Xenopus tropicalis: one gene and its partner. The protein of the gene in region 2 interacts with the protein of the main gene of each other region in a biochemical or structural test. Links are inferred from orthologs where the notes say so. Each region holds a gene or a part of one and is shown on either strand. Other genes may lie near its edges.

Region 1 (4,249 bases), on a different chromosome or scaffold from region 2:
TGATGCACTGTCTCGCCTGTACTTTTTTAAATCTTGCATGATGTTAACTTGAGGAGGTGGGGGAGGAGGTTGATGATGATGATGATGATGATGATGAGGTGAAAGATATTTATCCATTTCGCATCTAGTCTGAAAAATAAAAGAAAAAAAGGTTACATATTAAACCCTTCCTATATACCATTTTGTACTGCCTGTGGATGCTAACCTTCTGTTAGAGGCAAAACAAAAGATATATATATAACCAAAACAATGTTACAGAAATAACAGAACGCTAAAAATTATGTTTCCCTTCAAAATTCATTGCGCCAAGCAGATTCCCAGCACTAGAGCTGAGGCCAGCTTGATCCCTTTCTCCCACATACTGATACACACAGAACATTCCAAAGCAGCTAGAAAATGTTAGATAATATTCTCCATGGTGTCTCAACATAATATAGAAAAGCCAAGTCTCTGGACTTCCTAAACTGAAACAAACAGCGGCTGGTACAGTTAAAGAGACACTGCAGCACTTACATTCATATCTGCTTAGATGAGGTGCAGTGGAGGCCGTGGGTGGCTGCAGGATGATAGGTTACATTTACAGTCATCAGCAAAGCATTTATCGTGTGCTGCTCAATAGACAAATGCTACATTCCCCCTTGCACTGTAAAAACTCCAGTCATTCCTTAACCCATCAGCCTTCTCCAAAATGAATCAGCTGACAAATGGAAAACTAGTGTAATAACTCACATCAGTTTCAGAAACCAGGGGGGGTCACTTGCTAAGTATATACATACCCACAAAAGCCAATCTGACTGTTATTGCTCTCTTATAGACTCAGCACCTGCAGCTAACATACTGTACAGGAAAGTATTTGTAGTTCTTTATTACCAACATCACTTACACACTTTGGCGCAACACAAAGGCAGTACCTGACACTGACCAACCTGCACCTCTGCAATGGCTGCACAGCTGCAACCCACCCCGTTGATAGCATTTTGGGAGTAGTAGTTCAGCAGAGAAAGGAGCACAATGCATTCAATGAGAAGAGAAAAACAGACTTAACAGGGACCATAGTGTAAAAACCAGATACAACAGCAATAAGTTCTCCTGTGATAATAAAACTGCAGCCCTCCAGCTGCTGTTTTAGTACCACACCCAAAGGGATGCTTGAACTTGTATTTTAAAAACCGCTGGAGGAAAGCAGATTAAACATCCTTGATTACTATGACTACAAAGTATGGAATTGTCCAGATCAACTTGTGGTTAGGCCCCTTCTGATTATAGCTCAACCAGCTGTTGTTTGCTTCGGATCTATTCCCTGTATGAGTGTGTGTGGGGGTGGCTGTACCAGTACTACTATAGTGGGCATCACCATGTACATCCCGACATACCACCTCATACATGAACAGCATCACCATCCGCCATTATTAATCCCCCTCGCTACCTTTCATTGCAACACAGTATGTTACAGAAAATTTCTGTATAACTGATGCAGGAACCCAGGGTGTAGTAGAAAAGAGCAATACCCATGTATGTTACTAGTTGTTTCCTTTGGTAAATAAAACTGTTTGCAATATTGTATATTTATGTGTACTCCCTTGTATTATTATTTTTTGTATACATTTGGAAAACTTACACGTAAACAATATAAAACCTGACACAGTTTTGTTGACTAAACCTGATTAGATTTGGATCTGACCATACTGCATGACCAGGTTGGTATATATTCCAGGTTGGGGCAAGTTACAGCAGACCACCCAGCATTGCTGATCATCTGTCTGGACCTGCAGCCAAGTGATGTTATACCCAGTGTATAGCAAGCTGCACACACCAGGCTGGGCTCTCCCTTAGATTAAAGGCACAGGTGCATACTTTGTAAGTTGGCACTTGGTCTGCCACTTATATACCAGTTAACACAGCATATCCAGTGGCAAATAAAAGTTGTGGTATAGGGCTCTCCCAACTAATTCACTAGAACTCCCTGCAATATCGGTCGTGGCTACTATGGGCTTCCTACCTACAACTGATGATTTTCGGGGCCCTAAGAAAACACCCCCTGACTAAGGACTATACGCCCGAACCTGCTGTGGAACCGGCACTCTAAAGCAAAGAGCCTGTGTGTCTCTAACGCAGCCTTAGTCTCTCTCTAGCGCAGCCTGTGTGTCTCTCTAGCGCAGCCTGTGTCTCTCTCTAGCGCAGCCTGTGTCTCTCTCTAGCGCAGCCTGTGTCTCTCTCTAGCGCAGCCTGTGTGTCTCTCTAGCGCAGCCTGTGTGTATCTCTCTAGCGCAACCTGTGTGTCTCTCTAGCGCAGCCTGTGTGTCTCTCTAGCGCAGCCTGTGTCTCTCTCTAGCGCAGCCTATGTGTCTCTCTCTAGCGCAGCCTGTGTGTCTCTCTAGCGCAGCCTGTGTGTATCTCTCTAGCGCAACCTGTGTATCTCTCTAGCGCAACCTGCGTCTCTCTAGCGCACTCCGCCTGGGCAAGCAGCTACCTGGCCCCAGCTGGCTCACCCTGTGGCCCCTGCATGCCATGGCAATTGCTTCCAGTGAACACAACATGCCCCCTCCGCACCCACAGTGCCCATCCCAGCAGCGCCTCACCTGCACCATGTCATCGGGCATCATTCGGGAGCTCTTCATTTCTTCTGCAAACAGTGTCCCTCCCGTAATGGGCTCCCCTCGGACATGCTGCTGGCCCAGAACTGGCTTCAGTTGGGTAAAGACCGGCTCGTCCAAGCGCTGTAGCCTGGCACTCATGGTCAGCACAGTGGCAGCCATGTACAGCGGGGCGGCGCTCTGGCACACACACAAGGGGCACACTCCGGAGACTCGGTGTGGAACTTTAGAAGAAGCCGCGGAGCTGAGGCTCACTATGTAGAACTAGCCAAGCTTTACACTGTTCGCTCCGTGTGGCACGGCACTGCCCTATCCACACGCACAACACTCTACCTGTTGCAGGGTGGATCCCGCTTTATTCCGGGGCAGGTCGCTAGGGGCCGTCCCAAACAAGATCCAGCCAATAGAAGCCGAGCGTGGGTGACTGTGGGCGGGGCCTAGCTATTAGAAGCCGCCTGCAACTCAGGCGCAGCGTGAGGGCGAAAAGTTTCTCTGGGAATGGCTTGCTCGCCCGGGAGCGAGTTACCCTGATGCACTGTACGTTATTAGCCCCAGATGGTGCATTAAAGGGAAAGCATAGGGCATTGTATTAGGCAAGGTGGGCACGAAATGTTATGTGACTATAACTCTCTGAATTAAAGTTAGCTTATGTATCACTGTTGGTAATTCCATGGCTGGTGCCAGGGACTAAGGTGGAGATCCATGGGGCTGGTGTCAAACTGCTTGCAGCTTCCACAATAACCCACCTCCCACCATTGTCTGTATGGACTGACAGCCATCATCTCCTACCCATGGTACATTGGTTTGGGTCTAGTAAGCTTATTTGTGGCGGTTGCATAGTTTTAAATTCTCACATGGGGTAATATAGTAACAGTTGCAGTGTTTTCCCTCACCTAGCAACTAATCAGCATGTAGCATTTAGTGGGCATCAAATAGCTGGTTGCTATGGGTTCTGAAGGTGTATGGGGACCTTAACTCATAGCAACCAATCAGTTGTTTGCTTTCAAACAGCTGACCAGTAAATGCTACCTGTTGATCAATCAATAATTGAAAAATATTGTTCTCTAGGTACATCTCACAGGGTCTCCTAAAAGATAAAGGCTGGGAAAAAATGCTAAGAGTTAGAGGGCTCTTTAGTTAGTATGTTGTACAGGTATGGGACCTATTATCCAGAATGCCCCAGGTCCCAAAAATGGGACCTGGGATTTTCCAGATAAGGGATCTTCCCGTAATTTGGGTCTCCATAACTTAAGTCTGCTAAAAATAATTTAAATACTGAATAACCCCAATAGGGCTGTTTTGCCTCCAGTAAGGATTAATTATATCTTAGTTGGGATCAAGTACAATGTTCTGTTTTATTATTACAGAGAAAAAGGAAACCATTATAAAAAATTTGAATTATTTTCTTATAATGGAGTCTATGGGAGATGGCCTTTCGTAATTCGGAACTTTCTGGATAAGGGGTTTCCGGTAAAGGGATCCCATACCTGTACTTTACTTTGGACATCTAAATTATCCCTATTTCTTAATCAAGTGTCAGTTGTTTTACATAGTGTATCTTATTTGTTACTGAACAGACAATTGCTTCAAAGCCTTGGTGTGGGGTTACATAACAAGGGCTGTGTCACAATAAAACATCTGGTTTGAGCAATGAA
Region 2 (3,650 bases):
CTCCCTTCTTGTTAGTGAGATATTTACTGGTGGAACAATGAGTTCTCTAAATCTTGCATGTTCCCTGCTGCACACAATTCTGTCACACTGTTAAGCATTCCAAATGACTCCAGATCCAAACGTTCCAACACATTATCTCTATATCTGTAAGAAAAAATATATATTATTTAGGCAAGTGACTTGTTAAGCATCCACTACAGTTTGGTTCATATTTGTAACAATTATAGTTCCCTATAGCTTAGTACAGGTCCTTTGCCTTTATCCTTATAGCACACATAATAGTACATTCTAAGTGGAATTTCTATACTTAAAAATCAGGTTTAAAAGAGAGAAATGAACTATAGTGGCTCGTAATTTAATTACATGTGGAATTGTATAATTGATCATTTGTAAATAATATTAAAATCATGTGACAGCAGAATAATTAGGGAAATATTTTTTTTTTTTTTTTTGGAGAATGCCTTTCTGGGAAACCAGAATCCCATTGTCCTGTCTTCCTCTTTCAGTCTATTTTTAGAGAGGGAAATATTGCCATTTTGCCTTACTTGATTTATCTGACTCGACACATTCAGCTGCCTCGCAGCCCAATTAAGTAGTCAGTCTTTTAAAATGCAAATAACCCATGGATAAACACAAGGAAGGGTTGTCTAACCATTTCCTTTGCATTTTTATGGTCTGCTAGGCTGCCATCATTACGATAATTTTATACCACAGAAAGATGTGTAAATTCATTGTCTTGGAATGAAGCGGTTTTAACATATTTAATGCCTCAGATATTAGACAAAATACAAGTAATTTACTTAATTGAATGCTTTCAATCATGAACTATGCTTTGAATAGCCCTGTTTTTTATATCATTTTGAGCCATTTTAAAATTGTATAGATTTCTCTTTGTCTGCATGTGTATATACAGTACATCGAAGGGAACATGTCTGCATTTAGTAAAAAAGAAACACATTTGGATACGTGTGTGTGTGTGTATAAACACACAACCATATATATATGTGTGTGTCAATATTTAGGTCAGAACTTATGTATCCAAGGTAAGGCTTGCCTGGGTGCAGTGCATAATTGTATACAAATGAACACCAGAAATCTCTACTCAGAGGACTTCACAAATCCAAAAAGTGATTTATTTAATTATTTGATTGTTTTTATGTTTCACTAAATAATCTGATAATTCTCTCTCTAGGTCCCAACAAACATCAAAGTGCTGTGACTTGTTTACAGTTCAACAAGAATTTTGTAATCACCAGCTCTGACGATGGGACTGTAAAATTGTGGGACTTGAAAACGGGTGAATTTATTCGGAATCTGGTCACGTTGGAAAGTGGCGGAAGCGGAGGTGTTGTATGGAGAATCCGAGCCTCCAACACAAAACTTGTCTGCGCTGTGGGAAGCAGAAATGGGACAGAGGAAACAAAACTGCTGGTGCTGGACTTTGATGTGGACATGAAGTGAAGGCTGGGGAGACAAAGTTGTCCATATTTTTAGACTGCTTATCCTCCTTTTTTCTGCCACCCCTTTCCTCCCCAGTTCTTCCCCTCCAAAAACATCAGTTGGCCTTGGTGAAACAGGATTCGGGCTTGGGGCAACAGATCACAAAGACCTACAGATCGTGGATGTGAAGGCATGATATCTTGTCACGAAAAAAATAGACTTCCTTGCAGGGTTCCTTTTTCTTTTGCAAAAAGGAGGAAGTAAATTAAAACCGGGTGAAATTATTTTTTGATTTCTCTCAAACTGATCTTACGGCAGCACCGGCGGTTGTTTTGGTGGACTGTCATTAATGCCAGAAAAACCTATGTCACAAAGCTACAGATATTCACAAAACACAAACAAATGCTGGTTGACTTTAAAAGAGAGCATTTGAAACAAAGTCATTTTCTGGTTTTAGAAATGCTGAAAAAAAATAACTGTGAATTGTTTTTGTACAGTTTTATCAATTTTTGCCGACTTTTGCCAATGTCAATCAATCACAGTATTAGCCTCTGTTATTTTACTGTTGCTTCCATCTACACTCTTCAATGCATATGTTGCCCTGGGCTGGCAAGCTAGTCCTCACGTTCTCAGATGGATGGAAATCTCGATGCTGGTGCTAGCAGTAGGTCTTTACAAATGGGATTGTTGTCCCACAGCTGTACTGTATTCCCAGTGGCCAAACATATTTATGCTGCTAACTGAAAGGAGAAAAAAAAAGCAAAATTTCTTTTTTTTTTTTATTATTATTATTTTACTGCTGTGACGTTTTAGTCCCAGACTGAATTCCAAATTCGTTCTAGTTTGGATATGGAAATAGATTTTTTTTTCTTTTTGCCACTGAAATTTGAACCCTCAGTGCCTCTAAGAGGCCGTAACTGGGACAATTTCAGACAATTAAGAGTGAAGTTTGCCTGCAAATTAAAAAAAAAAAACAAAAACAAAAAAACAAAACTTTTGAGAGTGTGCAAAGCTTTTTTTTTTATTTTATATATATTTTTTTTTTTTTTTAGCAAAAATGTAAAAAACATTCCTTAGAACAAAGCTGTTATAGCCTGTTCTGTTGGGATATTTTTTTATTTTTTGGAGGGCTGTGGTGAATGTAATTTCCGTAACACAACTGACAAGATGTTTAAGAAAAAAAAGTACAAAACACGAAATATCTGAAACCAATGTTGCTGGATAGCCTTGATAATGACAGTATTTGGGTGGAAAAACAACTGTTACAGTTTTCTATAAAGGCAATGCACAGGCCAAAAGGCTTTTGCTGCGCAAGCTTCACGTGCAAATAAACAATACCATACAATTGTCCGATAATTTGCCTCATTTTCCAAGAGTCACAACTCATGCTGAACTGTGAAAGTGGTTTAACACTGTATCTAGGCAATCTTTTTTTTTTTTTTTTCCTTTTTTTTTTCCTCCTCATCCTGTATTTTTATTATTTATAGTCTGGTTTTAAAACAATCAGATTCCATTTGGTTCATTTACAGTTCTGTAACAACCTGACATAATGGAGGAAACAATGTTTAAAGGGATTGTGTCTATGGTTTGATTCACTTAGAAATTTTATTTTCTTATAACTTAAGTGCAATAAAATGTGTTTTTTCATGTTAATAAGCGTTTGCGTTTCAATGGTGCCATTCTAGCCATGAGCTTATATATTTCTATTATGTTTGTTCTCCTGTATGCCAGATACTGCATTTGCAATATGGCGTCCTTAAATGAATAGTACTACAGGTGTCGGACCCCTTATCTGGAAATCCATTATGAATTACGGAAAGGCCATCTCCCATAGACTCCATTATAAGCAATTAATTCTAATTTTTAAAAATGATTTCCTTTTTCTCTGTAATAATAAAACAGTACCTTGTACTTGATCCCAACTAAGATATAATTAATCCTTATTGGAGGCAAAACAATCCTTTTGGCTTTATTCAATATTTAAAGATCCCTTATCCAGAATACCCCAGGTCCCGAGCATTCTGGATAACAGGTCCCATACCTGAACTGCAAATTATACAGTAGAAATGTTATTGTTTTCTAAAAAATATTTATACATTTTCAAAAAAATTGGGACAGGGTAATAAAAGACTGGAAAATCTGTGTAAATCTAAAAAGATTGGATCCCAGAGAGGCTGGGTCTCTCCGATATAAAGATGGGGAGGGGCACC

What was found. The genes of interacting proteins can lie anywhere in the genome.
Region 1: the proteins of fbxw7 (region 2) and klf5 form a complex in vitro, tested with the Homo sapiens proteins (2 studies listed by BioGRID, with this or other methods). The link is inferred for Xenopus tropicalis from reciprocal best matches to the Homo sapiens genes FBXW7 and KLF5.

What each region holds. Positions count from the first base shown.
Region 1 is NC_030678.2:127,158,579-127,162,827, forward strand, and holds the start of klf5 (Krueppel-like factor 5), read right to left. Parts: upstream 2,934-4,249; 5' UTR 2,757-2,933; coding exon 2,580-2,756; intron 130-2,579; coding exon 1-129. UniProt on the Homo sapiens protein: Transcription factor that binds to GC box promoter elements. Activates the transcription of these genes.
Region 2 is NC_030677.2:55,551,805-55,555,454, forward strand, and holds the end of fbxw7 (F-box/WD repeat-containing protein 7), read left to right. Parts: intron 1-1,192; coding exon 1,193-1,461; 3' UTR 1,462-3,093; downstream 3,094-3,650. UniProt on the Homo sapiens protein: Substrate recognition component of a SCF (SKP1-CUL1-F-box protein) E3 ubiquitin-protein ligase complex which mediates the ubiquitination and subsequent proteasomal degradation of target proteins.